Alligator mississippiensis: one gene and its partners. The protein of the gene in region 1 purifies or fractionates together with the protein of each later gene. This does not show direct contact. Links are inferred from orthologs where the notes say so. Each region holds a gene or a part of one and is shown in the gene's direction. Other genes may lie near its edges.

Region 1 (7,593 bases):
AGCTGGCGCAGCACTTCAGCAAACTTTTCTGTAGCCACCTAGTTTGGTGGTTTCACATTAAAGTGTTGGTGGGCAGTGTGCACCACGTTACTATTTTCTTTTGTTTTAAAGGATTTCAACAATGTAGGGATTAATGTAGGTTGCCATTTCTAACTTAAACTGAAAAAGTCATCAATTTGTATCCAGCCTAGCTCTGTGTCTGTAGAGCAATGTATTTATTATTCCAGTCTTCATTAGAAACAGTTCTTTTCAGAGAGCTTAGGCACAATCAGAAGCATTACTTTTTAAAAGAAATTCAAGATTGCTTGGTGGCCTCAGGTCCCTCCGTTTGTTCTTTGCAGATCTGGGAGTAGCTGAGAAGTCTTCCTCTTCTCTTGACTAGCTCCAGCAAGCATCATGAAGTCTCTAAGTGGCTTCCTCAAGCCTTTTGATGCCTCCAAAGAAAAAATGCACCCGCAAGGCCAAGAAGCCAGAGCTGCTCTTCCTTGAGAGGCCACGGGAGGGATCTGTTCATCATTATGGGTCTTCTCTTCCTTTGGCTGAGAACCCAAGATGTGTTCCTACCAGACCCGTAGACCAGAATGCCTCTACTGAGTGGGTAAGTACAGGTTTCCTGCTCCTTCATTTCATACAGTGTTTTGTTTTGTTTCTCTTTTACAAGGTAATGGAGAGATCTGTACTGGATATTGGCACGAGCCAATAAATGGGTGCTTTTTCTTTATTTCCTTGTGGTTTAACTAGCTGTAGAGTTCGGAGTTGCTCCAAAGCCCACTCTTGCAAGTCACAAGCAGCTCAAGCTTTATTGCCACTTCAGGTACTGAATGATACTTTAGGGCCACTGGCAATGAAACAGAACTCCATGTCATGTACATTAGCATAATGACATTGAATACTGGGATCCAGAAAGAGAAATTGCTTTATGGATTTTATAGTAATTCAAAACCCTGTGCACAGAAAATAAAATATTTATTCTTTCATTTTTATTTTATGGATTTTTTTTTTTTGATACTTGAAATAGCTACTGTGCTGTAAGTGTGGTTGGCTGAAAGCTATGCCTAAAGTAATACCTGCCTGTTCAACAGGGATCCTGGTTTTCTCTGTTTAAAAAAAAAAATCCACAATTTTCAGATTTAAAAAAGTAACTCAAAATCCACATTTTTCTGTGATTAAAATGAAATGCCACTAATTTATATATAGTAGTGTTTCATTTTGATCATGGAAAAATGTGGATTTTGGTTACTTTTTTTTAATCTGAAAATTGTGGATTGTTTTGATCGGAGAAAACCAGGATCCCTGCTGTTCAGTTAAGGTGCTAGCTCCATTTTTGTATGCCCCTAACTGTAGTTCTTCTCTTTAGCATTTATTTTTATGTCTACTTTAACAGCTTGCTTTTCTGCTGTCATTCATACAATAATAAACCAGGGACTGTTGATGTCTGTGGCATGGAGTTAAAATTGATGTTGTACCTTGTAATGAGCTGTAGTTGCAAGGGAAGGGAAGGTTGGTACATTTGACCCTTCCCCTTCCCCCAGCTCAGTTTGTATTTTAATCTTCTTTCCATGCATTCCTTCCAGCGTCCCCCTCCCATGGGCTGAGAGGGCAATTCAGTGTCCGTTTTATTCAGTCTTGCAGTCATTTGCACTGCCTGCATGATGCCATTCTGTGCAAAGATTTTTAAATAGTTGTGCTGCTGTACTGTGGGAACTGCCTTGGTTTTAGCTGCAGCTATCACTTTGGGCAGCTCTGCTAAATAGCATTGCTACTTTGGACTCAAAACTTTTTAACAAAGCAGCCCCAAGGAGTGAGGTTTCAAGTATACATTTGAACACTCCACCAGCCATGCAAATTGGAGTTATTTGAGGTCAATTTCTATGTTGTTTGCTGCGGGGGGGGGGGCGGAAAGAAGTTCAGAGCAGATCAACTTTAAACATGTTGCAGGCAGTCAGCTATATGGCTTCTAAATCAATAAGCAAAGCACTTGCTGAGATGAGAGAGAATCACTGTGGATCTGGAACACATTGGAAAATATCCCAATATCTGGAGATGTCTGAGAAGTAATGGCTGGGTAACTAGTATTGCAGTTATTGGGCTAACTTCTCCTCTGACTTCTCCTGACTACTTATAGTGAATCCCAAGTTAGGTCTCAGGCCTCATTTCATCACTTGAATCTCAATTGCATGAATCTCCTAGTCGTAAACATTTCCTGGGGTCTGCAGTCCCCTGTGTGTAGAACCTGTGTATCCTCCAATTGTTTTGATTGGAAATCTCGAAAACAGTGGGATAGGTACTTGCCATTTTTTTTTCCTGTTTGACTTAGGTTATGGCTTGTGAAATGTTGCGCAGTAATTTAATGCATGAAAGAGACTGGTGGTTTCTAGAGTAATTTAAGAATACAATATCAGAATTCACCCCTATAATAGGTGACTTAATTATTAAAAAAAAAACTTTGAATTGCAAGTCTTCTTTGAAAAGTCTCTAAAAATGGCTGTGTGGATTCTATGTTTTTTGTCTCCATTACTGCAGAATAAATGTCCCTTTTATAAATAAGATGTGTTTTGTGCAGTGAAACAACCTCAGCTGGGGGTCTAAGAATCCAGTTAGGCCTCTTTAATACTTATCCTTCACCTACAATATTCTGGCAGAAAACAGGACAGGGTGGTGGTACCTTTAGAGATTGGCTTCTGCCTAGCTTGAGGCTAACATGGTGACTTGCCTTTTAATATTCTGGTGTCAGTTACACCTGTGCTGCTGCTTTGTCTTCCTGGTTGTATCAACAAGACTGGTGGTTTGTAAAACACAAGAAGAAACAGAATCCAACCTGCTCTTTGAACTGTGGAGGATTCAGTAGCAATTAAAGATTTATTCTATCACTAAAATAGATGCATTTAAGTATATTCAGAGAAGATAGCACATTTAAAACTGCATTTCAGAGTAGAACTGCACTTTGTGGCTATGTGAGCCTCCAAATTTTTCATGCTGTCTTGAGTGTCGAACATAGTTTGCAGCTGAGGAAATCTCGGTAAACTAGACCACGTGCTGGAAGAGGCAACGGCAGCTCTCAAATGAAGATCAATAGATACATTAGAGAAAGGGGAAGTGCAGTGAGAATGGTGTTGCTGTTTCCTTGTGGAGGAGCCAAGGAGTGTGAGGGGTTATCCCATCTGAGAGAATGGTTTTTCACCATCTCTGTTTGGCTTTTCAGGTGTCCCCGCAGTTTGAAGCCACTCTACCCATGGGCTTCAAGGGCAAGGGAGGTAAGAAGCAAAAGCATGTGTCCAAAAACTTCCAGATCCAGGAAAAGAGTTATGGATTCCTTCAAGGAGGAGGAGCTGGTCAGAAACCTGCTGTCTGCAGATTTCCTTCTCTAACTTTTGAGAATCCAAAAACTTCTACCTGTACCTGCACAAGGCATTCCAAAACTAATGCAAAGGCATGCCATGCCCAGCCCAAGACAGGCTCTGCAACAAAAGCCAGCAACCCAAAGAGCTTTCGAGAGAGAACCTCTCAGTCTCCTATTCAAGAGCTAGAGATCTTCAGTCCACCAGATATACAGACTCCAGAACTGTCATCTGCAAGGAGCCTTGATCAGAGTGGCACTGTGTCACCCGTGAATACCTTCCCGCTGTATGCACATAGTGATGTCACTGTCTGTGCTGACAGACTGGAAAGCCATGACTCAACATCACTAGTCAAGGACACCCCAGAACACCAGTATGGAGTGAAGGTAACTTGGAGGCAACGGCCTCACCTATTGAAATACCTGAGAAAGAAGGGGAAGCTAAGCAATAGTGACATCATGGTGAAGATGAGCCAGTACTGACCTGAGCTCCCAGGTACAGGCAGCTGCTGACTGGAGCAGAACAGGAGTTCAGCTGCATCTCCTCTGTGCTGGTGGCTTAATGCAAGGAGGTCCCACTGGGAGATGACTCTGCAGGGATGAAGAGAGAGATGCCTTGTTCAAAGCATGGACCTAAGCCCCAGTGAGGCTGAGACTCCTTACTCCCACCGAGAGGTGCTTCAATCCACTGTGTGGTCCAGCTGTGAATGTCTCTGGGAGGGGGGAGGTGGTCCAGCTTGAGGCATCCTTGCCTCAAATTTGCTGCTCCTGGCAGTAGCTTAACTAAGAGCAGTGAGGTAAGAAGGGTACCAACATAGGGGATGCCAGAATGATGCCCTTTCCTTCCTCCCAGTCTTAGCTGGAGCAGCCCTACCTGCTCAGGGCATAAGAGCTCAGCTGGAAGCCATGAGCCTGGCTGCAGGGACATGGTTGGAGCTACCCCACACTACCCAGCCCTAGAAGCTGAGCTGGAAAAGCCCCCACTGCCTGGCCATAGGAGCTGGGGAAGGCACACAGCCGTGGGGGGGGAGGGGGCTGGACTCCCTAGGGCAGGTAAGCCACAGCCCCTGTAGCTGGGCAGTAGGGGCTGCTCCAGCAAGACGGTATGGGGTGAGGGTGCATGGGGTTGCTCTACATGCAGCTGAGCTCCCCCCATACCCAGGGGGCTGCTATTCACAGCGATGCCCCGTGTTAAATGGAACTCGGGGGGGGGGGGGGGGGTCGCCCAGGGGCTCCTCCAGCCCCGCCCCCACTGGCCGGGCTCGGTGGGGCGGGGCGGGGCGGGGCGGGGCGGCGCCTAAGGCACCACCCCGCGCGGTGCGCATGCGTGGCTTCTCTTTTCATTCCTCCCTCTCGACCGCAGCCAATAGGCGCGCCCCGTGCTGCGCCTCCCACCAGTGGTGCCGCGCCTTAGTGCCGGGTGCCGTTGCCTGGAGCAACGGCACGGGGAGGAGTGCGGAGGGAGCAGAGGAGCCGAGCTAGCGCGACTGGGCTCCCATAGCAACGGCGCGGGCGGGGATGGAGAGCGCGAGGGGCCGCGCGGCGCCCTGCGGGGGCAGGTGAGGCCCGGCCGGGGCTGGAGCACGAGGCTCCTGCGCCGCCCGGTCAGCGCGGGGGGGCGTTCCCGGTGGGGCTGCACGTGGGGGCGACCCGGAGCTCCGGGCTCCCCCCATCCCTTTCTGCAGCCCCCGCGCAGGGTGGCGGCGGGCTGCGCTTGGGCTGTCCCGCGCGCGGTGGGGCTAGGGGTTGGGGCTGCGGCGGGCCGGTCCCGCCCCGCCCCGTCCCGCCCCGCCCCGCGGGTTGAGGCGGCTTGGTGGTGTGATTAGCGGTGCGTCCCAGAGCGCCATCGGCCCCTCTCAAAGGAGGGCTCTCGGTCTGTACAATGCCAGTCCCTCCATGAGGTCACACAGTGCCGGGGCAGGAGAGCAGAACTCAATGCTTGTTGCCCTGCGCATCAGCCCTGCCTTAGAAGGTAATGGGAGGCAATGGGCAGGTGTCTAAGTCTTCTGGGGTCCCTATTCTGACACAGCCCCCAGCTGGACTTATTGTTAAGCCTCCTGTTCAGGCTGCAAGTCTTAATTGGTCTGTTTCTTCCCTCTGGGTAGCTCCTACAGTCACTCTTCCAGGAGGTCTGACTTGGGGCATGGGTAAAAAGCTCCCATCTAATTGAACCTCTTTGCTGCTGATTCCTATTTCTCTCACTGAATAAACCAATGTAACTTTCTAAATGAATTATTTTATAATAGGCACAAGAGGGAAATCAAGTCATAATGTCCAGCCGAGTTAGGCTTTCTGCCATCAGTTTAATTGGTGACTTGGAGTGTTGCGGGGAGCAAATGGGATTTGCTTTACATTACACTGCTTCCGTGCAGTAAGGGGTACAGTGTTAATGGAAGTGACAAAGATGAGGGTTACTAATGTACAAAGCAGATGCCTTTATGGATAAGGATTCTGTACCCAGTGAGAGCTGTCTTTTCACTTGGTCTTGCTTGTCCTGCTTCCAGAAAAACCCTATTTTTTCTGAGAGCTGCTCACATGCTCGCTCTCTGCCCTGCCTTCCCACCCCAAAAAAAGCATGCGCATTGAATGAGCTCAGATAGATGGGAGCATAGCTTGTGGTACTGTTAATGTTGACCAGTTTCCTTTGCTTTTTTGAGGAGGGCTTCAGAATATTTGACCTGAGTGAACTTGCTGTTGGAAGCACAGCTTAGATTTTTCTGTCACAACTTGATCGTAGCAGTGGTGGTGATGGGAAATGAAGAAGGTTCCCCACCACCTCCAGTAAAATAGTAAATTGACCTGTGGCCTGTCCCTTCCCACCCTTACCCTGCACCCACCTGCCATCTTAGGGCAGGTAAAAACATACTGCTTTTGATTTAAATGAAATCCTGCCATGACATTTTCCCCACGTAAGAATCTAAATCTCCTGTGATGTACAATTTCAATACAGTTGCATTTGTACCTTTTATGATTCCACCCTGCCACCACTGCTCTGAGTCATGCCCTAACCTTGCACCTATCTGCTATCCTGGAGCATAAGGAGGACCAGGTAGACTGAAAGCATGCCGTACTTACCGAAATCCTGCCTGGACAGCATTGCCACGCTTCATCTTGCAGCCCTGACCTCAAAGTGTGCGAGGATTTATCCGCCCTTCGTTCTGGCACTGGGATACTGGTCTATTTCTGCGTGTTGAAGGCTGACACCAGGTCTCTCTTGGTGTTGCTGAGCCGTCTGGATGTTACGGGTCCCAGGGCCACAGTTGGAATTGTGGCCTCTGGTCCTGCAGCTGCTGATGTCCGGTCACTCCACCACCAGCTGGCGGGCCTGCCTCCTCAGGACTGCATCCCCTCTAGGGAGCTGGCTGGTGGTGGGATGCAGCTGCGTGGCATCAGCTCGGTGCCTAACATTCGGTGCATCGCCATCATTGGGGAAGTTCCTATAAAGTGATCTAATCCTGTAGAGCTCATGCTCGTCCCCCTCCGGCCTTTGCCCTCTCCTCCTCCACCACCAGAATGCCAGGGCACCAGCCCCCAGCACCACAGCTGCCCCCAGTGCCAGCTTCACTTTCCAGCTGCCCGATGTCGCTGGGCGCTGGTGGTCAGGGCTCGGCATGAGCGTGGCAAAATCCAGTTTGGATAATGGGACCATCCTCGCATACCACTCAGCACAAGTGGGAGAAAAAGTCCCAGGGGCTCCTTGTTGCTCAGGGATGACACCCGGGTCACTGAAGAGGGGGCATTGTGAGGGATGTGGCTGGCCTGGGCCTGGTGGGGGAGATGAAGAAAATAGAGCTTTTCTTCTGATGTAGCACTAGGCTGCCTGTCAAGCAACCTCTGGATGTCTCCCAGAGCCAGCTTAATAAAAGTGCCAGTTCTTGCAATCTTGGTGTTTCTAACATAGCAATATGATTCCTGGAGAATCTGTTCTTTCTTAGTTTTTTTGCCACCACCATTGCAGAGAAAAGCTGGAAAATGTGAATCTTAAAGGACAAAACCCATAACAAGAAGTTTAGAGCATCTTATTTACTTTATTTTGGGGGACCTGATCTTTGATTTGTTTTTTAATTGAATGGTTGGAATTGGGAATACAGTAAAATGCACAGGGGTAGATAGAGGGCTCCTTCAAAAGCAAAGGAAAAGAAGTAGTTAAATCCCCTTTTTGGAGGAGGTCCAGTTGGTGACTTGTATGGTGGTATTGGCTGAATTAGACATAGCCCAGTCATGATGATAGTGCATCTAAATATAGTGTCTTTGTT
Region 2 (7,640 bases), on another chromosome or scaffold:
AGTGGGACTTCAAATAGAAACATTCACACGTGTAAAGTTAAGCATGTCTGCCAGATCTGAACTGGTATTTGGATTTGAAAACCTAACTTCAAACACCCACTCCTTCCCTTCTCCCCCAGTTCTTTTTTAATATATCTTAAAACACACATTTCCACTTAAACAAGATTTTGTCTTCACACAAGTATGCAACAAAATGTCTGTATTTAAATTAATCTATTTTTATATTTCTATACAAGCATTGGGTGTTTACTTTTTTATTTTTTCAATTTAATTGAAATAAAATTCTTAAGCCAAAATAAGAAAGCATCCTGCAGACCTGCACAGTAGGAAAAAAAAAAGAGAAGAAAAAGAAAAACAATCCAATTTAAATCTCATTTAACTCAGATTTAGATATATCAGTATATGTTTCTGAGTAACAAGTTGATACTCCAACCAGGACAAAGTTTTAGGAGTGAGCTGTTTTTCAGTTTTTTTGGAGACCAGAAAAAGAGTAGGAATATATTTTGCAAAGCTAGTTTGCTGTTTAAGACAATTAAAACGACCATCTAGATAATTATATCAATGTTACCTATAGAAAAGACAATTTAAGGCTGAAAACAAGCATGAAAAACTTTAACCTAGAGATCATTTTCTTTAAAAAAAATATCAGTGCCAGGAAATAGTGTCAACCCAGATATTCTGTTAGTAGTTTGTGATAGGTGGCTTGTTAATAGCTAGTCAATATGTATCATTTGCATGTCATTGCTTTAACAGTAACATGTGTCATAGTTTAAAAAAATATTTCCATTTCCATTCATTAAACTTAAGCAGATCATCCCCCTTTCAGATTTATCTGTGTGCACAAAGATAAGGAAATACTAAAACAGAGAGAGTCAGGTAGCTGGGAAAATGCAGTGCTTTTCCTTTAAGAATTGAGAGTTGATTTTTTTCAAAAGCAAATGCCTCTACTTGCTTCATATCCATCTACAGTTCCGTTCAGAAATACACTAAACAAACCAAAAGGTGATGTCAAGCCATTGATTTGGTCATTACTTGTTGATCCCTGTGTTCAGGGGTGTGTCAGAGGCAGAGAGAGGGTGTACGTGTTTGTTTGAAGATCGACCGTTTTAGAAGGAAAAATAACAAATTCAGACTATTTATCTATATAAACATTTTAATTAACAACAAATACAACAGATTCTCTCTCTCCCCCCCCCCCCAGGTACTTTTCAAAATTGTACCTCAATTGTATTCAAGCAATATATAACAATTAAAAAAGGATTTATTTTAATGAGAAAATCCATATTCTATTTAAACAACATATGGTAAACTCTGATTACACAAACCCCAGGTGTGCAAATTTTCGAAGTGTCCCCTAGACTCAACATGCTGGTTTCCAAAATTCTGTTTATCAAAAATTACCCAAGCAATTTGTACAACAGGGCAAAGACATGAACAAAAATAAAATTACATTCATAATGCATTGGCAATTTGTGTTTGCTCACTATAATGCGTTAAAAGCCAAATAATCTACCACCTTTAGAGGTAAGAACACATTCAAGGATAATTTATGCACATAGCAAGTGTACAATGACATGTAGTGAAATGTATGTATTATTTATAATTTATTATTCTTATTGTAGTAATACATTTATGCCTCAATCAGGAATCATCTTTCAATTGTGCACAACCTGCATCTGGATCAAGAATCTTCTTTTCTTAGACACAGAAAGCATGTCTGCATGAGACACTGACTCCAGAGTAGCTGAAAAATACTACGCAGTAGCATGTCACAGCACAGACAGTGCTAATATGCTACGGCATGGTATTATTAGCAGGGATCCTGGTTTTCTTTGTTTAAAAATTGCAACTTCTCTGATTAAAACCCCCCAAAACCATCACACCCTTCCCCCCACCCCTGCTGGTGCCCCTCACTCCCCACCCACCCACCCACCCAGCCCTGCCTGAGAGGGCCCCCGGCTGCTACAGCTACAGGATCACAGGTCCAGGGACATGGGTCTGCAGCCCCCTGCCCCCCATAGCAGCACCTGAGCCCCAGCTACCGCTCATCAGAGGCAGTGGCTGCTGTGGTGGAGCAGAGTATGAAGCCTGGCTTCCCCCGCCACCATAGGCAGCATGGCTGGCTCATGTGGGGGCAGGTGCAGGCTCCCTGCCATGCCCAGGGCCTCCACAGCCCAGCCGGGGGGACCTGGCACAGCAGGGAAGAATGAAGCTGGGTGAAGAAGCTCAGTGACACCACCGCAAGCCCCACGTTGCCACGATGAGACACCCCCTGCCTGCTCAGCAGCAGCAGGGGTGGTGGCGGCACAGAGTTGTGCCTCCCATTGCTGCTGGGCAAGCAGGGGACACCTTGCCATGGGGACTTTTGGCTCACAGCAGCAGCACTGCCTTAGACTGTCAATCTTCCCTGCCCTGCTGCACCAGGTCCCACCTGCTGGGTCATGGAGGTGCCCAGGGGGAGGACAGCAGAGCAGGGAGCCCAAGCGCACAGCAGGCAACCTGCCCCATGCACAAAACTGGGGGCATGTGCTTTCCATGCCTCCCCCTGGGAGTGCGCACAGTGTCGGGGAGCCAGCTTCCCCCACCCCCTGACAAGCTGCCTGCAGCTCCATCCCAACCCCCTGCGGTTCCGCATTCTGGCCCCAGGCATCACCCAGACTGGGCAGCAGCCCCAGCTCTGCCCAACTCCATCCACCTCTCACTATGGGGGCCTCCATCTACCCTCCTGAATTACCTGTGGGAGTTGCTAGCTGGCTGGAACTCTGTCATTTCCTGTGTTTTTCTCCTTAAAAGGAGAAAATCCGGGTTTTACTACTTAAAATGGGAAAATCTGGGTTTTGCCATGTTTTTGCATGGCAAACAGAAAATCCAGCTCCCTGATTATTAGGCTACTGCTCGGTAGCATCACCTAAAAGATGTGCACTGGCACTACTGTGCAGTAACTCCAGTTACTGTGCATTTATTTAGTACTTGATTATACAGGGGAATTAATTAGGGGGTTTCAACTTTTTAGTTGGGGTACCCCCAGTGGCTGGTCAATGAGCCAGGGGTTGCCCGGTGTCTGGTCAACAAGGCAAGGGGGTGCCTCCTTGGCACCACTGCCATGTACACCCTGGGGCCTTCCAAAGTACCCCAGGGGTATGCATACCTCTGGTTGAAAACCCCATTAAAGGTGCAGTAAGGACTGCACAGTAGCATCTTCGTAGACGCATCCCGTGTTCACAATCTAAGGCTGTCGTTTAGACATGCATTTCTATTTTATAAAGACATTTAAAGAAATGCTTAACTTTAGGTATATTTTCAAGTCCCACTTAAAATTAAGTAAACTGCATTTAAATGCCTTCCCAAATCGAAATGGACTTAAGCACAAGCTTCAGTGCTTTTGTGAACTGGTGTCCAATCAATGATCTTACTCTATTTTGAACATTTATTGTACAATGATGGACTAGGACCCAGGACCAGGATGAATCATTCCAAAACTGGTACAACCATCAGCAACTCAAGTGCATCCATCCCATTGTATAAAACATAAAAATAGATTTAATCCTAAAATGCAGAGAAAACCCCTGTTCTTGCAAACATGCTGGAGGCTTTCCACTGTATGGAAAAGATTTAGTTCTTAAGTTTCAGGTTTTGGTTTTTAAGGTCCAACTGGAAAAATATATACAAGTTAAGTGCAGCGACTTCGGTCCATAGATCCTGCTGATACAGGCTGGAGCCACTGCTGCCCAGAGTTAAATTAGAAACTGGAAAAGGAGTATTTCAAATAGACAACTAAGCCATCTTCTGGAACATAAGCTGAGGGGTTCATTAACAATGTGGTAACCTTCCTCCTATTTTCTTTCATCAGTTTCTCCCTCTCTTTTCAAGGCATGGAAGGTATTTTTAAAGGCAGCAGTGCTGACAGGTAAGCTCCCAAGCATCTCGTGGCTTTGCCTCCTCATACCCTCGCAAGAAGTTTGAGGGAGCGGGATGGAAAGCTGCAGCCCAGGGCAGAAAGCGGTGTCAGCTGGCACCCAGCCCAAAGGAGCTGCTTTGCTCAGGGGAACAGGGCTTGTTTCCCAAGCTTTAAGCTTTTCCTCTCGTGAAAGCTCCACGCTGGGGCGTGTCAGACCCGCCACTGAAGGCCCAGGTTAGCGGGGCGGTACAGACACGCAGGGACCGGACCGGACCAGCCCAGCCCAGCCCTGCCTTGGGTCGGGCGGGAAGGGAAGCAACTGCAGCCCGGCAAGACGCTCCGGGAGCCCCCGAGACAGGCGGAGAGGACTGGAGCGCCCTGACTAGCCCCGTCCGAGCCGCTTCCCCTGGCCGAGAGGCCAACGAAGGGCGATGGCCTCATGTCAGCGCCCCTCCCCCGCACACGGTCAGCCAAGGCCAGCGGGGCTGACATCAAGCGCCGCCCCAAGCGTTGTCCGGCCCACGCACCGGCCCGGCCCGGCCCCGGCCCCGCCCCCCCAGCAGCCTTACGTAACCCTGCGCCCGGCCGCGCCCCCTTTCCAGGCCAGCGGCGAAGACGTGGGTCACGTGCGCGAGCCCAGCGGTTAGAGGGTCACGTGACAGCGGCAGCGCGCCCCCCCCCCTCCACGTGACCCGGTTTGTTGTTGTTGCGGCCTCTGCTGGCGGGTGCCCGCGTGGGCGGCGGCCGGGTCACGTGCCGGGTTTAAATCTCTCCCTGGGGTGGGGGCTGCAGCGGAGGCGCCGCTGCGCGCTGGTCCGGGCGGGGGAGGCGGCGGTTGCTGCTGCTCCAAGATGGCGGACGAGGAGTCTCTGGTCGTTCAGCCCCGCTGCGGCCCCTGCGCTGCGGCGGATGGTGCCGAGCCCGCTGCCAAGCGCCAGCGCCGGGACTCAGAGGATGACTGCGGCGGGTGGGGCGCGGCGGCCACGCTGCGCCCGGGGCGCGGGGTCGGGCCGGCGATGGAGCGGCCGGGGGAGGCGGCCCACGCCGAGAGGGGCGAGGCGGCAGCGGGCTGGAGCGGCGCGGACAATGGGGCCGGGCTGCGTGGCCTGCCCCGGGCGGAGCCGCCGCAGTCGCCGCAGCAGCAGCAGCTGGGCCGGGGGGAGGGGGCGGAGGCGGCGCCCGACGGAGACGCGGCGGAGCTGGCCATTGGCTGTAGACGGGCGCAGTGTTCAAACGGGAAGGCCGAGGCGCCGGCCCCGCATCCCGGTGAGGACCGACCCCCCCCCCCGGACCGGAGAGCGGAGGGACCCTGGGCCGCGCCCCTTCGTGCGCCCGCGGCCTCCCCGCGTCAGCCGCACGCCCCCGCCACGCCCCCGCGCCTCTGGGTGCAGCGGGGGGGAGCCGCGGGCCCCCTCGGGCTTGGGCCGAGCCTCTGCCCTGCACCCCTGCTCTGCTCCTAGCGGCTTCATGCCCGCGAGCTGCTCTGTCCCTTGGCGCCCATCCTGCTACTAAGGGCGCCAGGGCACATCTGTCCGCAGCCGCCGGGGCTGGAAGCCCGACATGCGCCTTTATGTTTACATTCGCATCCGCTCCCTTTTCTCCCTTTCCTTTCAGCCCTCCAGGTGCTGACAGTGGCAGGCCGCCCTTTGGGGGCTGCCAGCCCCCAGGGATTGGAGGTGAAAGATGACGCTTTCAGCCTAGGGCTGTTCAGCAAAGGGTGAGGCACTCACCTACTGCTGCTCGGAAGGGAACAGAGTGAAATCAAACTTGTCCACCTTTGAGAAATAGCTACAGCTTGCTGGGTTGGGCTGTGTCAGTGCTCTGTATTCCTGATTTACTAACTTCAGCCAACCTCTGCTTTCACAGTCCCCTTGGCTGGCCTTCTGTGAGCAAGCAGCCTGACAATTTTTGTAGTAAACATGTTTCTCTACAGTTATTAAACATTTTAAAAAGCTGCTCTTCTGGTCTACTTCTGCCCTTCTAAGTTCCTGTGTATGGCTGTTCATCTTTGTGTTTTGTTTCTTGGAAACCTTCCTATAAGGGACATGATCCACTAAGCAGCTGCCTTGCCAATATTTTGTGTAGTTGGCTACCCTGGGCATGAAAACTAAACTATAACTATTAGTTTCTGAAAGGATCTTGGCAGGCCCAACTTGAGGTGAACTACTGGGGCAGTACCAGTTTGTAGGTAGTTTCCTTTGTACTTCTAAAACAAATGGTGTCTTTGCCTAGACAGGAGGCCCTTAAGAACTGAATTTACATATTTTTAGTAAATCAACACTAAATCTTTCACAAGCAATTTTTGCCCTGGGACATGCTTAAATCTTAAATTTTCACTTTTGCTTATGTACTATAGTGCTTTTAATGGCCTGCACTGATAAGAAAGAGCAGAGGTTGAATACCTTGGAGCAGGATTATCAATCCAAAATGTTATTAGAAGAGAACAATGTAGAATTGGTTCTTTCATAAATGCTTTGTACTGAATCCTTTTTGCCCAAGCTACTCTTATCCTAGATGTATACCTTTTAAATTTGTGATTGGTTCCGCCTAGGAGAAGTCTCCTTGTTGATTTATCGGTCTTGGGATATTGCTTATAGTTGAAAGATTTCTGAAACTTGCAGAAAGTATAATTGTTAAACAGTCGCATCAACTAGTTTGTTTCTAGTCTATTTTGGTCAATATAAGAATGATAGTTGTGGGTCTAAATAGTCCTTATGGAGACACTTGTGTACATGATAAACTATATGCCCATGCATTGAAATCATGCAAAAAAACAACTGGAGGGATATTTTTTATTAGACTAGCTGCACAGCTGGGAGAGATGATAGATGTTAGACCTGAAGATGGGCACTTTGTGCCATACAGCTAGTTTGATAAAAGGTAACACCAAAAATCTTGTTGCTTGCATATTTCCTGGACCATCAGAGCTACAACAACACTACAACAAAACTGCATGAACTAATATGTGTCTCTTTCTCTCTCTGAGATGTGTACTTTGATTTAGGTATAACTATTGGAATGGGAGCAAAAACTGTCCAAACCAGTGAATAAAGTAACAGCAAGAAAGTGTACCAAAATAACACTCACATGCACTTAAAATGTTGTAGACTGGAATTTGAAATTTTGTCCATCCTCCTTTTTCCTGGTCCATAACAGTGTTTTTAAAGGGGAGAGGACTATTACCTTGTATAACAGGCACTTGATATTTTCTGCTTTTCATTTGTAATCATAAGACTTGAGATATATCTAGCTTTAAGTATTCTGATCTTATACAGTCAAGAGATAAGCAAGTCTCAACAGATTTTGGTATGGAGGATTTTTTTGATAAACTGTTCCCTCCCCTCTTTTTTCTTAAGGAAAAAGGTGGGTATTTTGTGGCCATTAGTGTGTGTTCAATTCAGAAATATCAAATGTCAGCTCTGTCTGATTTTGTTGGGCATCTAAAACATTTGAGAAGCCTTGTGTAGAAAAGGCAGTTTGCATGGTGTGACCAGTTAAATTGTTCAAATTCAAATTTGAACTTCATTAGTCTAAAATGCATTGAAAGCCATGTCCTTTATCTTTGCTGAAATTCTTTGCTAAGTTGTTCCTACATCATAAGGCCTGTGTCAATAAAGAACTAATATAACAATATTGGGTCCAAAAGAGTGGAAGTTGAGCAACTGATATGCAAGTTGTGAAAAGTAAAGGATTTTTAATCATGCTGTCCTAAAGCTTCTTGAAGGTTATGGATTATTTATAC
Region 3 (7,745 bases), about 73 Mb from region 1:
ACAAAGAGAAATGCAAAGTGCTGCACCTAGCGAGGAAAAATGTCCAGCATACCTACTACCTAGGAAATGACCTGCTTGGAGGCACGGAAGTGGAAAGGGATCTTGGAGTCCTAGCGGACTCCAAGATGAACATGAGTCGTCAGTGTGACAAAGTCATCAGAAAAGCTAATGGCACTTTATCGTGCATCAGCAGATGCATGACGAACAGAACCAAGGAGGTGATACTTCCGCTCTATCGGCCGCTGGTCAGACTGCAGTTGGAGTACTGCATGTAATTTTGGACGCCGCACTTCAAGAGGGATGTGGATAACCTGGAGAGGGTCCAGAGAAGGGCCACTCACATGGCTAAGGGCTTGCAGGCCAAGCCCTATGAGGAGAGACTAGGGCACCTGGACCTCTTCAGCCTCCGCAAGAGAAGATTGAGGGGCGACCTTGTGGCTGCCTATAAGTTCATCATGGGGGCACAGAAGGGAATTGGTGAGGCTTTACTCACCAAGGCGCCCCTGGGGGTTACAAGAAATAATGGCCACAAGCTAGCAGAGAGCAGATTTAGACTGGACATTAGGAAGAACTTCTTCACAGTTAGAGTGGCCATGGTCTGGAACGGGCTCCCAAGGGAGGTGGTGCTCTCCCCTACCCTGGGGGTCTTCAAGAGGAGGTTAGATAGGCATCTAGCTGGGGTCATCTAGACCCAGCACTTCTTCCTGCCTATGCAGGGGGTCGGACTCGATGATCTATTGAGGTCCCTTCCGACCCTAACATCTATGAATCTATGACGTGGTCAGGAAGGCTAACCGCACCTTGTCATGCGTCCACAGATGCATCACGAGCAAGTCCAAGGAGGTGATCCTCCCCCTCTATGTGACACTGGTAGGTCATGGTTGGAGTACTGTGCCCAGTTCTGGGCACTGCACTTCAGAAGGGATGTGGACAGCATTGAGAAGGTCCAGAGGAGAGCCACTCGCATGATGAGGGGGCAGCAAGGCAGGCCCTACGAGGAGAGGCTAAGGAACCTGAACCTGTTCAGCCTCCACAAGAGAAGGCTGAGAGGGGATCTGGTCGCCATCTACAAACTGGCCAAAGGGGACCAGCAGGCAATGGGAGAGTCCCTGTTCCTCCGACCACTACCGGGAATAACGAGGAATAACAGCCATAAGTTGACTGAGAGTAGATACAGACTAGATATTAGGAGGCACAACTTCAGTCAGGGCAGCTAGGATCCGGAACCAACTTCCAAGGGAAGTGGTGCTCGCTTCTACCCTGGGGGTCTTCGAAAGGAGGCTAGAAAATTACCTAGCTAGGGTCGTTTGACACCAGCATTCTTTCCTGCCCATGGTCTTGATGATCTGCTCAGGACACTTCCGACCTTACCAACTATGAAACTATGAAAAATAAAAATCAACATTTTTCTTTTTCCATTTCAATATCTAACATGAAAATTAGCTCATTGGTGGCTGGGACAAAATCTGAATGATTTTGCTCATACATTGAGGTAATGCATGCACAGATTGGTCTTGGACAGATGAGCAAGCATCCTCATTGATTAACCTTGTCAACAGTGTACAATCAAGTGGTTTTTTTTAGACGGACTGTCAAAAATAGCACCATGTTGAACATTTAAAGAAAATTTAGAAAAAAGACCCTGATGAGAAGAAATAATTGCAACATCCAGATTACCTATTGACAAGGGATAATCTTTGCCAGTTTTTGAACAGTAAGGGTATGTCTACATGAGACATTTTACAGTGCAACAGACTAATTTGCTGCACAGTAAAGCATCACATGTGTAGTAATTAGAGCACAGTAGTCTATAACTTACTGCACTGCCAGCTCATTCCACCAGATGCAAGTGATATCCAGCAGTGCAATAAATTACTGCATTTATATGCACATGTAGTTGGTGGTGTTGGGATTAGTTTACTCTGGCTCAAGGTGAGGCAAGGTATAGTAAATCAGATTAATTGCATGTGTGCAACAGAGTGTGAATAAACTGTTATGGACAGAAAGACAGACTAAGGCTTTTATAATATTAGAATATGCAAGTTACAGGATGAACACATCAATGTTAAAAAAAAAAATCAAAGGTCTTCCAGTGCCTAGATGACTTCTTGAGGTAGCATGATTAAGGCATGCCAGGTTCTGTAGCTAACAGCCATGGGCAGATCAAGGATTTTGAAAAGTGGGGTGCAGATAGAGTGATATTCATAGATTCATAGATGTTAGGGTCGGAAGGGACCTCAATAGATCATCGAGTCTGACCCCCTGCATAGGCAGGAAAGAGTGCTGGGTCTAGATGACCCCAGCTAGATGCCTATCCAACCTCCTCTTGAAGACCCCCAGGGTAGGGGAGAGCACCACCTCCCTTGGGAGCCTGTTCCAGACCTTGGCCACTCTAACTGTGAAGTTCTTCCTAAGGATAGGTGGGGTTCTTCCTGGGATAGGTGATAAATTATTACACAAAACACAACATATTTTTTGCCAGTTAAAGAAAACTAAGATGCTTTACTAATATGCAAGTGCTATATTATTCAGTTTAAATTCAAAGCAAAAACAAATATAACTACAGGAATGCACAATAAATTGCTCGATTTTATATAACATTAAAAAAAAACTAGGTAAAAATAGCCAAAAGATATTGTGTCATTAGTTCTGTAGTTATTATAGTTAATTGCACGTCTCGTATTCAGATTCATTAAACAAAATCTAGCCTTCTTGAGCATCTTGTCAGTGTCTCCAATACTTCAGTCAGTTATTCTACACTTGAGTTAATATTACAACAGCTAAACTAAGGTTTTCAACTAGAGAAAAAGGCTCTTTGTTAAAATACCTGTATTCTGGATACTTAAAGGTGGTGGAACCTGGGCTGATCCCAGTTTTTACAATAGGAGAGAAGCCATCACTAAGCACTTTCATAGATAAAAACTGATGTTGGGCCAAAACTAATGTAAACTGACAACAGAATTGAAAAATCCCAGGCTTTCTCACATTCTGATTATTTACTGGCCGCAGAAAAATGCCTGTGACCTACTTTAAGTGTGAAGTGATATTTTTTAATTTCCCCCCTGAACACTTTTACCCAAAGTGCTGGGATAGATAAAGGACTAGATAATATACCTGGGTATGTTCCAAATGGTCATATAAAGTTGGATTTGTAATTTGACACAGTTCAACCCATGTAACAAAACTACTTATTGGCCTGGTGTTTCCGGAGGCCTTAGCAGGCATCAATCTAGTCGTTCAAGAAACTCTGATCATTCTCTAGCAGACAGCAGTACTGGAAAATTGGACTATTGACTAGCTAGTGCCAAGCTGTAATCATGAATACAGAAAGAGAATATACCGGGGGAAATCTTTTTTTATTTAGAGGAAGAAATCATAACCCCCTGTTGTGCACAGCTCAAAGCATCTGCTTTTTTTCCTTCAGTGGAAACAGATATTTAGACAAGCCTTCACAGGACTGGAGTGTTTTACCCATGTGCACTGACTGCGGTTACCACGTTGTATCTCTATGGTTACATGACTGGGTCAAAGCGATGCACTGAGTAAAAAACAGCTGCGAATACATTATGAAACCCTGAAAAGCAGGTAGGTTCAGTCTCAGCAGTGCCAAATTTACCTCAAAGTGAATGTTCACTGACTCTCACATGCTTTCACACACCTGTCTCCCAAGGTGCAGCCTGCTCATGCCTCCCGCTGTGGAGCGCATGGCTTGTGGCTGGGTGGTATCAGGCTGCCAGGGTGCGTCCAGACGAGCATGTAGCGCACGTGGGGCTGGTGGCGCTGCAAAACGCACGGGACCACATGCAGGCGTTCACCACGCTGCTAATTTGCAGTGTGGTGGGTATTTTGAAACCCTGACATGCCAGTGTCAAAAAACATGCACCTGAGAAACAGAAGCCGAACGGTGCACGCAGCGGTGGCATGCACTGCCCCAAACCGGAGCAAGGCAGGCCAGAGCCAGGCCCCGTGCTCCCAGATCGCGGCCACTGCAGCCCGGGGGGGTTGCTGAGGCCAACCCCCACCAGGAGCGTCTTTCCCATGCTAACCCCACACGCAGGGGCGTGCGCCAGGGCGATCTGCCTTGAACTGTACCTCTGAGCTTGTCCAAACCCTCTAGGCACAAATACTTTGTGGTTTGAAGCATCAGCGCGTGGAGCAACCTGCAGGTGCGATGTGCCTGGAAAGAGGCAGGTTGAGGCCCGCACCAGCCCGAGCGCTGCCAGTGGCTGCCCTGGGGGGAGCTGCCGGCTGCTCCCCGTCCCCGGCACGCGCTGCGGCTGGGCCGAGCACCTCCTACTCCGCTCGGCTGAAACGGGACGAGGCCGCAGAGGCGCCGGCGGGGCCGTGGTGATCGCCGGGCCTGGCGGAGCTGCCCCGGGCAGCGGCGCGTCACGTCTCCAGGCAACTGCCGGCCCCGCCCACGCCTCACCCGACTGGTTCTCTCACTCAATGAGGGCGCTCAGGCCTCCCCCCACATCTGTCAACTTCCGCCCTCGAGCTCCACTGTCAAATCAGGATGCGAGAGCCTCACTAGGTCCCACCGCTGTGCTCCTGGCAACCAATGGGATAAATGCTTTGGCTCCCTCCTTCCCTACCCGTTAGACGCACATTTTCTTCCCGCAACTCCGCCCCTCCCTCCGGAGCATCCAACGGGAGCGGGCGCCTTATTCTGACTCCGCCCCCCCGCTGGCAGCAGCCAATGGAACCGGGTTCCGCTCCCCTCCACCCCGCCCCCCCCGCCCCTCCAGCTTCCAGCTACAGCTGCTGCGGCCGCGCAGCCCCAGACGCGGCGTGTCTGGGCCATGGACGCCGCGCAGCAGCAGCGGGTGCGTGAGCGCGGGGCGGCCCCAGGGCGGGGGGAGGGCGCGGGGACTGCGGCGGGGGCGGCGACCGCACCTCGCCCTGGCACGGCCGCGCTCACTGGGGCCGCTGCTTCCTTGCAGGCCGCGATCAGCTACTACTGCCGCGAGGGGCTGTTCCGCCACGCTCAGGCCGCGGCCGAGGACGGGCTCCGCAAGGCGGCTGGCGACCCCGTGCTGCTCTTCTACCGCGCCTACGGCCTCCTCATGGCAGGTAACCGGCGGCGGGGTCGGGGAAGCCCCGAGGCTCGTGCTCGAGCTGAGGCGGAGGCTCCTTGCCGGCTTTGGTGGGGCGAGGGGGGCACGCGCTGGTCCCGAGCTCAGCTCCTCTTGGCAGAAGCCCGGGGGAAAGCGCGGGGTGTTGCCGGCCCCGCGGTGCAGTGTTAGGCTCAGGGCCTCTCAGTACGCTGGGGCTGGCCTTGGTTACACTCGAGGGCCCCCTCGGAGCGTGCGTGCTTCTCCTCCTCACTTGGCTTTTTGACTTGTGGAAAACTACCAGAGCGGCTTCTCTCTTCCTAGGATTGGACACAAGCGCGGAGGCAGCGTATCGGGGTAGACTTGGTTCATCGAGTCTGCTGCAGCGTGGCAGTTGCCGCGCTCCAGCATCCTTCTGCATCTCATGTATCAGCGTCCCTGCTCCAGTTGAAGCGCAGCTCTCCCTGCAACCCCAGAGCACGTGTAAAAGTGCCCCTAGTCATAGAGGAGTAGGGCTGCAAGGGACCTCCAGAGGTCATGCCTGACAACCATACATAAAACCAGGGGGCAGCACTGGTTTTGGGCAGAGTACCAAAAATACCCACAACCTTGGCTTGGAAAATGTTGGTGTGCCAGGGGCGTGTGGCAGTAGAGCCATGAGGGGCCTGATCCTTGTTGCGGCAGCGCAGCACCAGTCCCTTCCCCGAGGCGCGCGTGCCTTTGCTTGCCGTGGGTTGCCTCCTACTGATCTGAACTCTGTGTAAGACCTTCAGCTCTGATACACCGCAGCCCAGCGTGCCAGCCTGCCAGAGGGAGAGCAGGGCAGCCAGCATCCCACTTCCATGAAATGTCAATGCATATTCAGAAGATCCCAGGTAGAGAGCCCTGCCCTGTGCTGACGTGGAAGGCAAAAACTCAAACAGTTTTTTTGTATCCTTTTGACCGGGGAGGTCTATTTCCTTCCTGACCCCAAATATGGCGATTGGTCTGACACTGAGCAAATGGACAAGACCCTGTAGCCAGAATCCTCCAGCTTTGGTTCCAACAGGAGCATTAGCACACCCCAGTGAAAAGCCCCAGCCTTGGTTGTAGCCAATAACCAGTGCCTCTCAGAAGGCTTAAAACACCCTGATACGTAGCAAGCAGCCAAGCCCAGAAGCACATGAAATATCCGTGGTAGAACATGGGCACAGCTATACCTAGATAATCCCCAACTAGTGGCTGTCCAACCTCTTCTTGAACATCTCCAGTGATGGAAAATCTACAACTTCTATAGACAGTCTATTCTGCTTCCTCACTGTTCTAACAGTGAAGGAGTTTTTCCAGCTGGTCAGTCTAAACTTACTGTGCTGCAACTTCGCAACCAAAGTTTGTGTCCTCCTCCGGGCAGCAAAATAGAAAAGGTGCTTTCCCTTCTCTTTATGGCAGCCCTTCAACTATTTGCCAAGCTCTGTTGCTAAGCTCTTGGAAAGCTGCAGCAGGGTATAATGGGTTTGTCACTATGGATTCCTGTTTGAAAACTCTGCATTTATGTGGTGAATCGTGTCTGTGCACCTAACACAGCTAACATTGTGTACCACTCTGCCACACCCTCAAAAGAATCTCAGGGCATCCCATGGTTCCATGGCACCCAGCTTGAGAATCACTGTACTACACCCTGGTTCAAAGGCATATTTTTTCCCCTCTGTTTTGTGGAAACATTACTTGCCCCATAGTCAAGCACTTCACTTTTTCTATAGAAAGATATATCTGCTACATTTTACAGGCCTCTGTCCATTGGCAGGTGCGTAGGGGGTGCACATGCACCCCCTGAGCATGCCAGTGCATCCCCTACAAAAAGGGTGTGGGTGGTATCTGGGCAGTCGCTACATGCTGCGACCCCCCCACCGCTGCCATCACCGCCAGCAGTGTCTGCAGGTGGTCAGCAATCGACACTGCCAGCAGCGTCCATAGGTGGTCACCAACCCCTGGTCGGTGCTCGCCACCCCTCTTCCCCCGCCTGCAGTGTCTGCAGGAGTTCCCTACTTACCCTTGCCACTGCCGTGCCCCCCCCAGCCACCGAGGGGCACGTTTTGTTCATGCCTCTGTCTGTCTGCACATAATGACTGCATACATTTTTACTTACGCAGTGTCTGATGAAGTGAGCTCAAGTTCATGAGCTTAAGTTATGGCCTCTGTATAGCTTATTTAGTTCATTTGTAATGTGTATCTCTATCCTGTCTTCAGGCTAGCATGGCTAGCTATCAAGTTTTCATTTACCCATCATTACACCTTTAGACCAAGAGTCTTTCTAAATAGACTCAAACCAACAAAGTGCACATAGGAAAATAAAGTTATAAAGAGATAATTCTCTTGTTTTTTGGCAAGATACCTGTATTTTGGGGTTTGTTTACACTACAGGTTTCTCTTGCTTTATACGGGTTCTGTATGTGTGAATTTGCTCTTACACAATGATCCTTTTTATACCAAAAATTTGTTATATGCGAGGTAAAAGTCCCTCTTATGAGATTGGTGTGGTGGAAGCCTGCAGTCAGCTGCTTTGTGCAGTGCACTGTGCGAGTGACATGTACCCAAATACGGTCTTCTCTGTAGACCTTTGCTTCTCGCTCGTTGTCTGTGATGGGTTTCTGTAGTTACTATCCCCATTATGATAGTGCCCTGTGCTTGTTTGTACTGTCTGCTGTTGGTGAG
Region 4 (7,792 bases), on another chromosome or scaffold:
ATGGCAGATTGGGGTAAGGAGCAGAAAATAGAGGAAGGGGGTTAGAGTGGTGCTTGGGGAGGGCACAGGCTTAGTTTGTGTCATGCCTGCCAAAAAGGTTGGCTCCCGCTGCCTTAGATGTTTTCTCTACCAAGGTATGTAATGGTAATTTGTGAAGGAGGTTTGAAAGTATTTTCACTAATATACTATTTCTCACCTGTTTTCAGATTATTTCTACTGTATAGAGTATTTTATGCACTTTGACTTAAATATTTGTTGCCAGTAAAATGATCCCCAGGCATCTTTCACTTTGTACTAATTGTCTAAGGGTTTTTTCTATCTTTCACTGGCAACTTAGTAATTTGTTAGAGAAATAATATAACATAACATACTTGAATATCATTCTGAAGTATGTTAAAATGTTGTGAAAATCTATATTGCATACATTATTCAAAGGATAGGTTAATTTTCTTCCCAATGTTTTTTAATTTCTTACTCAACAATGGGGTCATTACAACAGACAGGAAAATGGGGTTAGGCTATATTATAGTTTAACATTCCAAGTGTTAAAGGTCAAAATAATTTTACAAATTTAAGGTTGGATCCTGTAGCTGAATCAATCTGGATCCACTCCTGACTTAAGCAAGGAGGGTCTTAGTGCAAAGAATCTGGACCTGCACTGTAGCCTGTAGCAGACAAATGATTATCTCAGGAGAGGACAGCTTGTACTTTATCCTTTTGTGGTGTATCACTCTTTACATTAAATTGTTTAAAAAGTTGAGTAAGTATTATGCTCATTTTGCAGATAAGGAAATGTGTGTATTTATAGTCTTGTCTGTGCTGTAAAAACAAGAGTTTTTACTACAGAAGTTTCTAATCCAAGTTACTGAATAAAATTATAACATTGTACAGTAAATAACCTTATTTTAAAAACAAATATTTCCCAGTCTTTATTTCTGCCTTAGTGTTTTGGTCTTATACCATGGTTTGAATAGCCATATGGGTCAAACCAAGGAGGCTTGAAACGTGGCTCTGTCACAGCTGAAGTTAACAAATCGAACAGGATGCTTTTTATATTTACACAGTGTGTAAATTTACATGGTGCTTTACTAACCTACACAATTCAATGCATTCAGATCTCCAAGGAGCTCACAGTGCAGGACCTCTGATCCTGCAAACATGCATGTGAATAACTTTGTATGCCTGAGTAATCCTAGCGCTTCTAGTTGGACTGCTAATGTGTAAAGTTACTTATTTGTGAGTTTGGAGAAATTGGACCTATTTAAAACACAATTTAGACAAGAACTGAGATAAGAAGCTGGTGTGGAGGCTAAAGACATTTGAACTTTCCTTCATTCTGTAGTAGATAGGGCCCAAAAAGGCAGGCCAATGATAAACTTGTACAAACAAAAAATAGAATGCAAATTAACTGTAAATTTAATGTTACATTATCACAGTCAAAGTGGCAATGTAACTTGGGGTTCACTGCATATCTTGTGTAATTTATGGCACAAATTATATACACTTAGTGTGTTAAAAGAACAGGGACAGAAAATACTGTGTGTGCAATGCAGCAGAACTAACATCGCCATAGAAACTTAAATTCTTATTTTTCCTCATCTTAATTGAGATGCAACCTTTTAATATTTGCATCAGTTTTCTAGGTTTATTTTTATAAAGTAGTATAGTATATGGCCAATAATAGATTTTTCTTAATCCCTTTCCCAGCTATAAAAAAGCCATCAGTATATAAAACATACTTCTGAATCTTTTTTTGATCACCTTATATTTGATACCATGACATGTCATTCATGACATTCTTTTCTCTTAAGGTATTTTCAGTCATTTAACTTTATAAATTATTGTAGGCAGTCCTCTTGTTACTGTGGCAGTTTCTGTCCTTTCCAGTTGAGGTAAGAGGACTTAAAACAGAGGTCAGATCTCCATTGCTGATCCTCCAAAGTGTACCAGGATGCACCTGGACATGACAGAGTGCTAGCAGCATTCTTTTAAAACCAGGGATGAAGGTGTTGGGTGTTGCCCGTTATTAATCAGAACACTCTAGCAGCCTTGGATAGCTGACCTAGCACCTTTTGCAAGGGCTAGATTCAGAGAATCTTAACATAGGAGGAGGAATCCTTGTGATTTAAAGTATTAGTCCAGGGCTTAATATGTCTGTTTAGAATGCAAATTCTGCAGCAGTGACTGCGTATTGGATATTTGGGGAAAAATCTTCTCATTGTAAGTGTAGTTATTAGTTAAGCACTGGAATAGATTACCCAGGGAGGTTGTGGAACAGGTTAGACATCTACCAGAAATGTTTTAGGCATACTGGATCCTATCTTGGTCGGGGAGTGAATTAGACTTCTTGAGATCATTTCCAGGTTTACCTCTCTAATTCTGCTTGTTTATAGAGTGTATATCATGTAGGGGGATTCCAAGAGTTGAAGCAATAGTAGAAATACTTTTTACAGGAAGTCCTCATCTTGTAAATAAATCTAACATTAATTGAAGTATTGTTAAATTCAGGGTGCACCAGCATTCAGAGCTTTTTTTCTGCAAGTGCCCATCTACATTTTTGGTTATGATGAAACTTTTGGCCTCCTTTATAATATACACCATCTCTTTTCTGATGGAATCACATAATTCCAAGTCCCTGCACTATTTGTGCCTAATGGGGTGTGATGCATCATTTGAATGAATGTACATGGTCAAAGCTGGCAGCTACATTTTGTGCATATAAACCTGAAGTTACCATTTAAAAATTAGAAGATAAATCATACCTTTGATTATTTGTTTAAATGTTGGCCATGATCCTAAGACTCTGATGCATGGGTTTGCTATGACTTCAGTGGGGCTATGAATAGCCACAGGGATGTGCTCATACAGACCATTAGGATTAGATCTTAAGGAGTTGCACACCTTCTAGGTTAATATACACCTCCTAGTGCTGCCCATTGGTCTCAGAATGACCCACAGGTAGCATCTGGGGCCTGCTGGATGGTCTCTGCTCCAGTTTGTGCCCTGGAGAGAGAGAGAGTGGCTGCTGCATGGAGTGCAGCCCCTGCTCCAGGGGCATGCAGCACAGCCCAGTGGCAGCAGCAGCTTCAGAGCTGTGCAGCACATCCAAGGAGCAGCCAGAGAAGGACTGGACCATGCACAGCACCCTCTTTGGCTGCTCCAGGACATGTGCTGGAATGTAGGGCCAGTCTGTAGGTCTGGTTCAGCCTGCAGACCAGCCCCACATCCAGCAGACTGAATAAGTTTGATACCTCTGCTATATATTAACTATTATGCTTGGATTTTTTTAAAAATGTTATTTTTTTACAGCAAAACATTTCAGTGATAACATACTTTGCCTCCATCTCCCAACTCTTCCCCAAACCAAAAAAGGTTGTGCCCTTTTTAGAGGTTGCAAACAGAATTGTAGAACTGTGATATTTAATTAAGAAATATAGCCTCTCATAGTAGTGCATGGAGGCTTCAGTCAGATCAGGCCCCATTGTGTTAGGCACTATGCAAACATAGTTGGTGACTTGAAGAGTTTACAAACTAATGTATGGATTTCCAGATCGGAGCAGTCTCATGTCATGTTTAAGTCAATGGAAGCTGCGTGTGTTCATCACCTTTGACAACCAGGCCATTGAATATCCAGTCTCCTCTGTCACTAATAAAAACAGTTTGGCAAATGCTTCTCCATAGGGTTAATTGACACAGTGTTGAAAATGGCTGCTGGTGCCAGAGATGTACCTATTAGGGCTTTCAGGCCTCATAGTCACTGAACTCTCTGAAGTAAGTAGGTGTGAGTTTGCATTAACATGTTCTCTACAACTCCCACTGGTTTGGGCTTGTATGGAAGAAATGTGCTACAGTGGCTAGAGTACTATAGTAAGAATTGGGAGACTTTCTAACTAGTTGTACAACTTTAATCAAGTCATTTTGCCTCTGTTATACTGCTCTCTTCCTTTGCAAAGCGATCTGAAATGTGCAGAAGAAAAGTATTTATATAAAAGCAAATTATTTGTGTTATGGAAAGGAACATCTGCATGCGAGATACTGCTTTGTGCCCTGACTGTCTAACACCAGCTGTCTTATGTCTTCAGTCCTAGTATGACAGTCGGTAGCAGCAATCCCCCAGTTCAAGGGCTGATCTCTACCACAGCTCATTGATGGGTCTTGAGCCACAGATCCAGCTGCAGAAGCTGCTGGTCGTTCCATGGGTGTAGGCTGGGATTCCTCTCCTTTGAGAGTGACCTTCTTCCTCTGCGGACACTCTCTCAATGTCCCCTTTTCGATGCTAATACAACCTCCCCCGACTGTGCTCAGGACATTACTTGAAGCACTTCACCGTTCTCTTTTCATCCGAGACAAACATGAACACAAATTCGGTCCAGCGCCTTCCGGTTAACGACTCTTGGCGAAAGGGCGTCCCTCACCTGCAGCTCCCGGCTGTCAGCAGGCAGCTTGGCCCGAGCTCAGCACCTGTCACCGGCATCGCTTGCCTCGCATCTTCCAGAAAGAAGGAAGATGATGATAAAAGGCTGTTTCTGTCTTCTTTGGGGATCCTCAGGAAACAAAGGGCTTCGAGACGGTGCTCCCGCGGGGCTGGCGGGGTGCGGGTATCCCCAGGCACCCGGCACCCCTGAGCTGGAGCGACCGGCCCCCTGCCACGCGCGGCTGCGGCTTCTGAGCTTCCGTGTCTGCCGCCGGGCCGGCTCGGGCGTTTCCGTGACTGCTCGGCGCTCCGGCCGGGCCGGCTCGGGCGCTTCCGGTTCGTGCTCCCCCCGTTGTCAGGGGTAACGCGAAGCATCATGGAGCCAACGCGGCGGCGGCGGCTGCAACCGAGGCCCTGAGCGGCTGCGTCCGCGCTCTCGGGGCAGGCGGCGGTAGGAGCGGGCAGGGCCGCGGCCGGGGGGGGGGTCGGCAGGGCCCGATGCGGCCCCCGGGGCTGGGAGGACCCGGCTCGGGCTTCTTCCCCTCGTGCTGCTGCGCTGCAAGGGGCCGGGCCGCGGCTCCCCTGGGCCGCGGGGCTCGGCTGGCGGGCCGGGCCGCCGGTGTCGCAGCGCTCTCTGCAGGCGCCGAGCGGCTCCGTCCCCTGTCGGAGCCGCCCCCGGGGTGCTGCCCGCGGCTTTCGCGGGCCCGGCGGAGCGGGGTGAGGCGCCCGTGGCACAGAGCGGCGGGGCCGGGTTTCGGGCCCTCCTTGCTCCCTCCAGAGCGCCTGTGGCCGGAAGGCCCCGTGCGCCGGGGTCACCTGCCTGCTGGGCCGAGGCCAGGAGCCGCCCCGCCTCGCCCTCCTCGCGTCGCCCTTTGAAGGATCTGGTAGCCCCCCAGGGTGCCCCATATCCTGGTGAGAATCATGGGGTGGTCCGTGGCCGCCGTAGTCTTTGTACTCAGAGTGCCTTTAAACACGGCTGCTAGTTCTGTTTCTCCCCTTTTTAAAATAAAACTTGAAGAGGGCAGCACTTTGCTTCCATGTTGTAGTCTGTGGGGTGATAGAGCAGCTCCCACAGAATCATTGAAAAGGAGAGCCAGAAGGGACCTCAGGAGGTCATATTCAGTCTAAGCCCCTACTCAAAGCAGGACCATCCCCAACTAGATCGTCCCAGCTAAGGCTTTGTCTAGCTGGGTCTTAAACATCTCCAAGGATGGAGAGTTTACAACCTCTCTGAGTAACCTGTTCCTGTGTTTTTTTACTTTTACATACCATTATTGGGCTTTGTTTGTCAACTAATAATTTAAAAACACAAACATCAGGGAAGTAGGAGGCAAGGTGGGTAAGAAGAACGGTCGAATGGGCCAGTCCTTTTGCTCAAAAGGAATAAAATGCAAAACCAGATAATGGGGAAAATGAGGAACCCAGCCCTGTCACTGACTTTGTTCAGGCAGAGCAGTGCAACACCCTCCCCCCCCCCCCAAGTTTTGTGGGGGCTTGTCTGCCCACATGAAGCTCATTGCACGTTCAGGACCCAAATCACTAGTATGTTTGTACAACATGCATCTTTTACCAATCAGAAGCTGTAGATGGGTAAGAGTGCACCAAAGGAAAGTAGTCTTGATCATGCAGTTTGAAACCCAATACAGAGTTTGTAGATCAAGGGACAGATACTATTTCCCCATCTCAGATTTGTCATTTTTGCTCTCTATATAGTATGATTTTATAAACCCATTAAAAACACACAAAACAAAACAAAACTTTGAATTAAAAATTTAAGAGGATTTATGATGATTTCTTAGAGGTAATTGCAGAATCTCTTAAGGAAGTCCTCACATCCTTTCAGAAAACCAGATCTATTATCTCTGATGGATTCATTAAGGAGCTCAAGTCTGTAGCCAAGCACAGTTCAGTAATGGTCAGACTTGTGTAGGACAAAACAACCAACCAACCCCCGCCCCCCAAAATCAAAACTACATTCTTGGTTGACAATTGAGGTGTGATCCAATACAGCTGATGGTATTACATAGAGAATATAAATAGCTTGAAGAATACAAATCAAAACTGATATGCATATATTTAAGTGGTGCAGCAGCTAGTGCCAGCTCTTCAAATAGCATGCTGGTTTGTTGTGACTTGAGCAAGCTTAAGGTAAAAGGTGCTGCATCAGAATCTCAAAAAACCTTCCTTTTTGAAAAAGTTTTATTTTTTTATTAAGATTCCAGTCCTATACTTGATGCCCTTCAGACAAATACTTCAGACCATGACTGAATAAGAAAAAATAAATCCCCTCCAAACAATATACATAGGAGAGCATAATGTTCTCCTAAACATACAATTATCTCCCTGAGGAGAGGTGAGAAAGTTAACTTCATATGATGTTAATCGCATTGCTGTGCACTTTTGGCAGGTATGTAGTTACTAGTTATGAGGAGATATATAGAAGAAAAAAAAAAAAAAGTATTTAGACTGCTATGCTGCAAGTCAAGTTCCAAAAGATTATATAACAAAACATTTGGGGAACTTTTTTTTTTAATTCTTATAGTACTGGTTAATTCTTCTAGTCTTAGACCAGTGGTTGTCAGCCAGGGGTACACAGAATGGAAAAAAAAAAAAAAAAGTTAGAGGTGCACTAATACATTGGTCCCATCAGATCGGCACAGATAAAAGGAAGTGACAGTATCGGCAATCAAGGAATTTTGTGGTGGCTGAAGCCCCCGCATTGCTTCCCTTCCCAAGGCTGCCACCTCCCACCCTGAGCATATCTTGGCCCAGCCCCCCTGCTGGGAAGAGCCTGGCACCCCCTTGGTCCAGCCCACAGTGGTAGCCTGCCCTCACCCAGCACAGATTCAAGGGCACACCTCCCCCATGCCCTCCTGGGGTGTGTAGTGCCAGAAACCAACCCCCCCTGCATCTCCCATATGAGCTGCCTGTGGCTCAGTCCCATGCTCTGCCCCAGCTATGCAGCACCTGCCCCAGCCCCTCCCCCCACAACAGACTTACCAGCCAGATGCCACATATTAATAATGCATTCAATGTTAATTAGTATAGTCTGCCTGTGACTAAAGGAGTAGAGACCAGCCTGCTCCTTTGTCCTTGGAGGAACTGCCTGCCTTTCTCCTGCCATGCCAAAATGTTCTATTGTTTTGATGTTAGCAGGTGGGAGGCAGGGGTTTAGGTGCCCAACCCACCTTACACCAGGGTGGTTCTCAAACCTGACATATAAGTGACCCTGTCCCACCACAGGCAGGCCCACCCAGCCTCCCTATACCAGCAGGGTACAATTTCAGGGCATGTCCAGGACCAATAAGTCCTTTTCCTTCCCCATAGCCTCACCCTTACCTCTAAGATATTCCTAGAGCAGGAGCTCCACCAAGTGAC

What was found.
Region 2: the proteins of TULP3 (region 1) and SIRT1 purify together in Homo sapiens (affinity purification with mass spectrometry; 5 studies listed by BioGRID and IntAct, counting the BioPlex papers as one, with this or other methods). This does not show direct contact. The link is inferred for Alligator mississippiensis from reciprocal best matches to the Homo sapiens genes TULP3 and SIRT1.
Region 3: the proteins of TULP3 (region 1) and TTC21B purify together in Homo sapiens (affinity purification with mass spectrometry; 5 studies listed by BioGRID and IntAct, counting the BioPlex papers as one, with this or other methods). This does not show direct contact. The link is inferred for Alligator mississippiensis from reciprocal best matches to the Homo sapiens genes TULP3 and TTC21B.
Region 4: the proteins of TULP3 (region 1) and IFT140 purify together in Homo sapiens (affinity purification with mass spectrometry; 5 studies listed by BioGRID and IntAct, counting the BioPlex papers as one, with this or other methods). This does not show direct contact. The link is inferred for Alligator mississippiensis from reciprocal best matches to the Homo sapiens genes TULP3 and IFT140.

Annotation. Positions count from the first base shown.
Region 1 is NC_081827.1:143,895,509-143,903,101, reverse strand, and holds the start of TULP3 (tubby-related protein 3), read left to right. Parts: upstream 1-4,584; 5' UTR 4,585-4,855; coding exon 4,856-4,896; intron 4,897-7,593. UniProt on the Homo sapiens protein: Negative regulator of the Shh signaling transduction pathway: recruited to primary cilia via association with the IFT complex A (IFT-A) and is required for recruitment of G protein-coupled receptor GPR161 to cilia, a promoter of PKA-dependent basal repression machinery in Shh signaling.
Region 2 is NC_081829.1:54,462,281-54,469,920, forward strand, and holds the start of SIRT1 (NAD-dependent protein deacetylase sirtuin-1), read left to right. Parts: upstream 1-4,623; 5' UTR 4,624-4,749; coding exon 4,750-5,164; intron 5,165-7,640. UniProt on the Homo sapiens protein: NAD-dependent protein deacetylase that links transcriptional regulation directly to intracellular energetics and participates in the coordination of several separated cellular functions such as cell cycle, response to DNA damage, metabolism, apoptosis and autophagy.
Region 3 is NC_081827.1:216,635,554-216,643,298, forward strand, and holds the start of TTC21B (tetratricopeptide repeat protein 21B), read left to right. Parts: upstream 1-4,738; 5' UTR 4,739-4,802; coding exon 4,803-4,826; intron 4,827-4,943; coding exon 4,944-5,073; intron 5,074-7,745. UniProt on the Homo sapiens protein: Component of the IFT complex A (IFT-A), a complex required for retrograde ciliary transport and entry into cilia of G protein-coupled receptors (GPCRs). Essential for retrograde trafficking of IFT-1, IFT-B and GPCRs.
Region 4 is NC_081836.1:29,248,347-29,256,138, reverse strand, and holds the start of IFT140 (intraflagellar transport protein 140 homolog), read left to right. Parts: upstream 1-4,777; 5' UTR 4,778-4,865; intron 4,866-7,792. UniProt on the Homo sapiens protein: Component of the IFT complex A (IFT-A), a complex required for retrograde ciliary transport and entry into cilia of G protein-coupled receptors (GPCRs).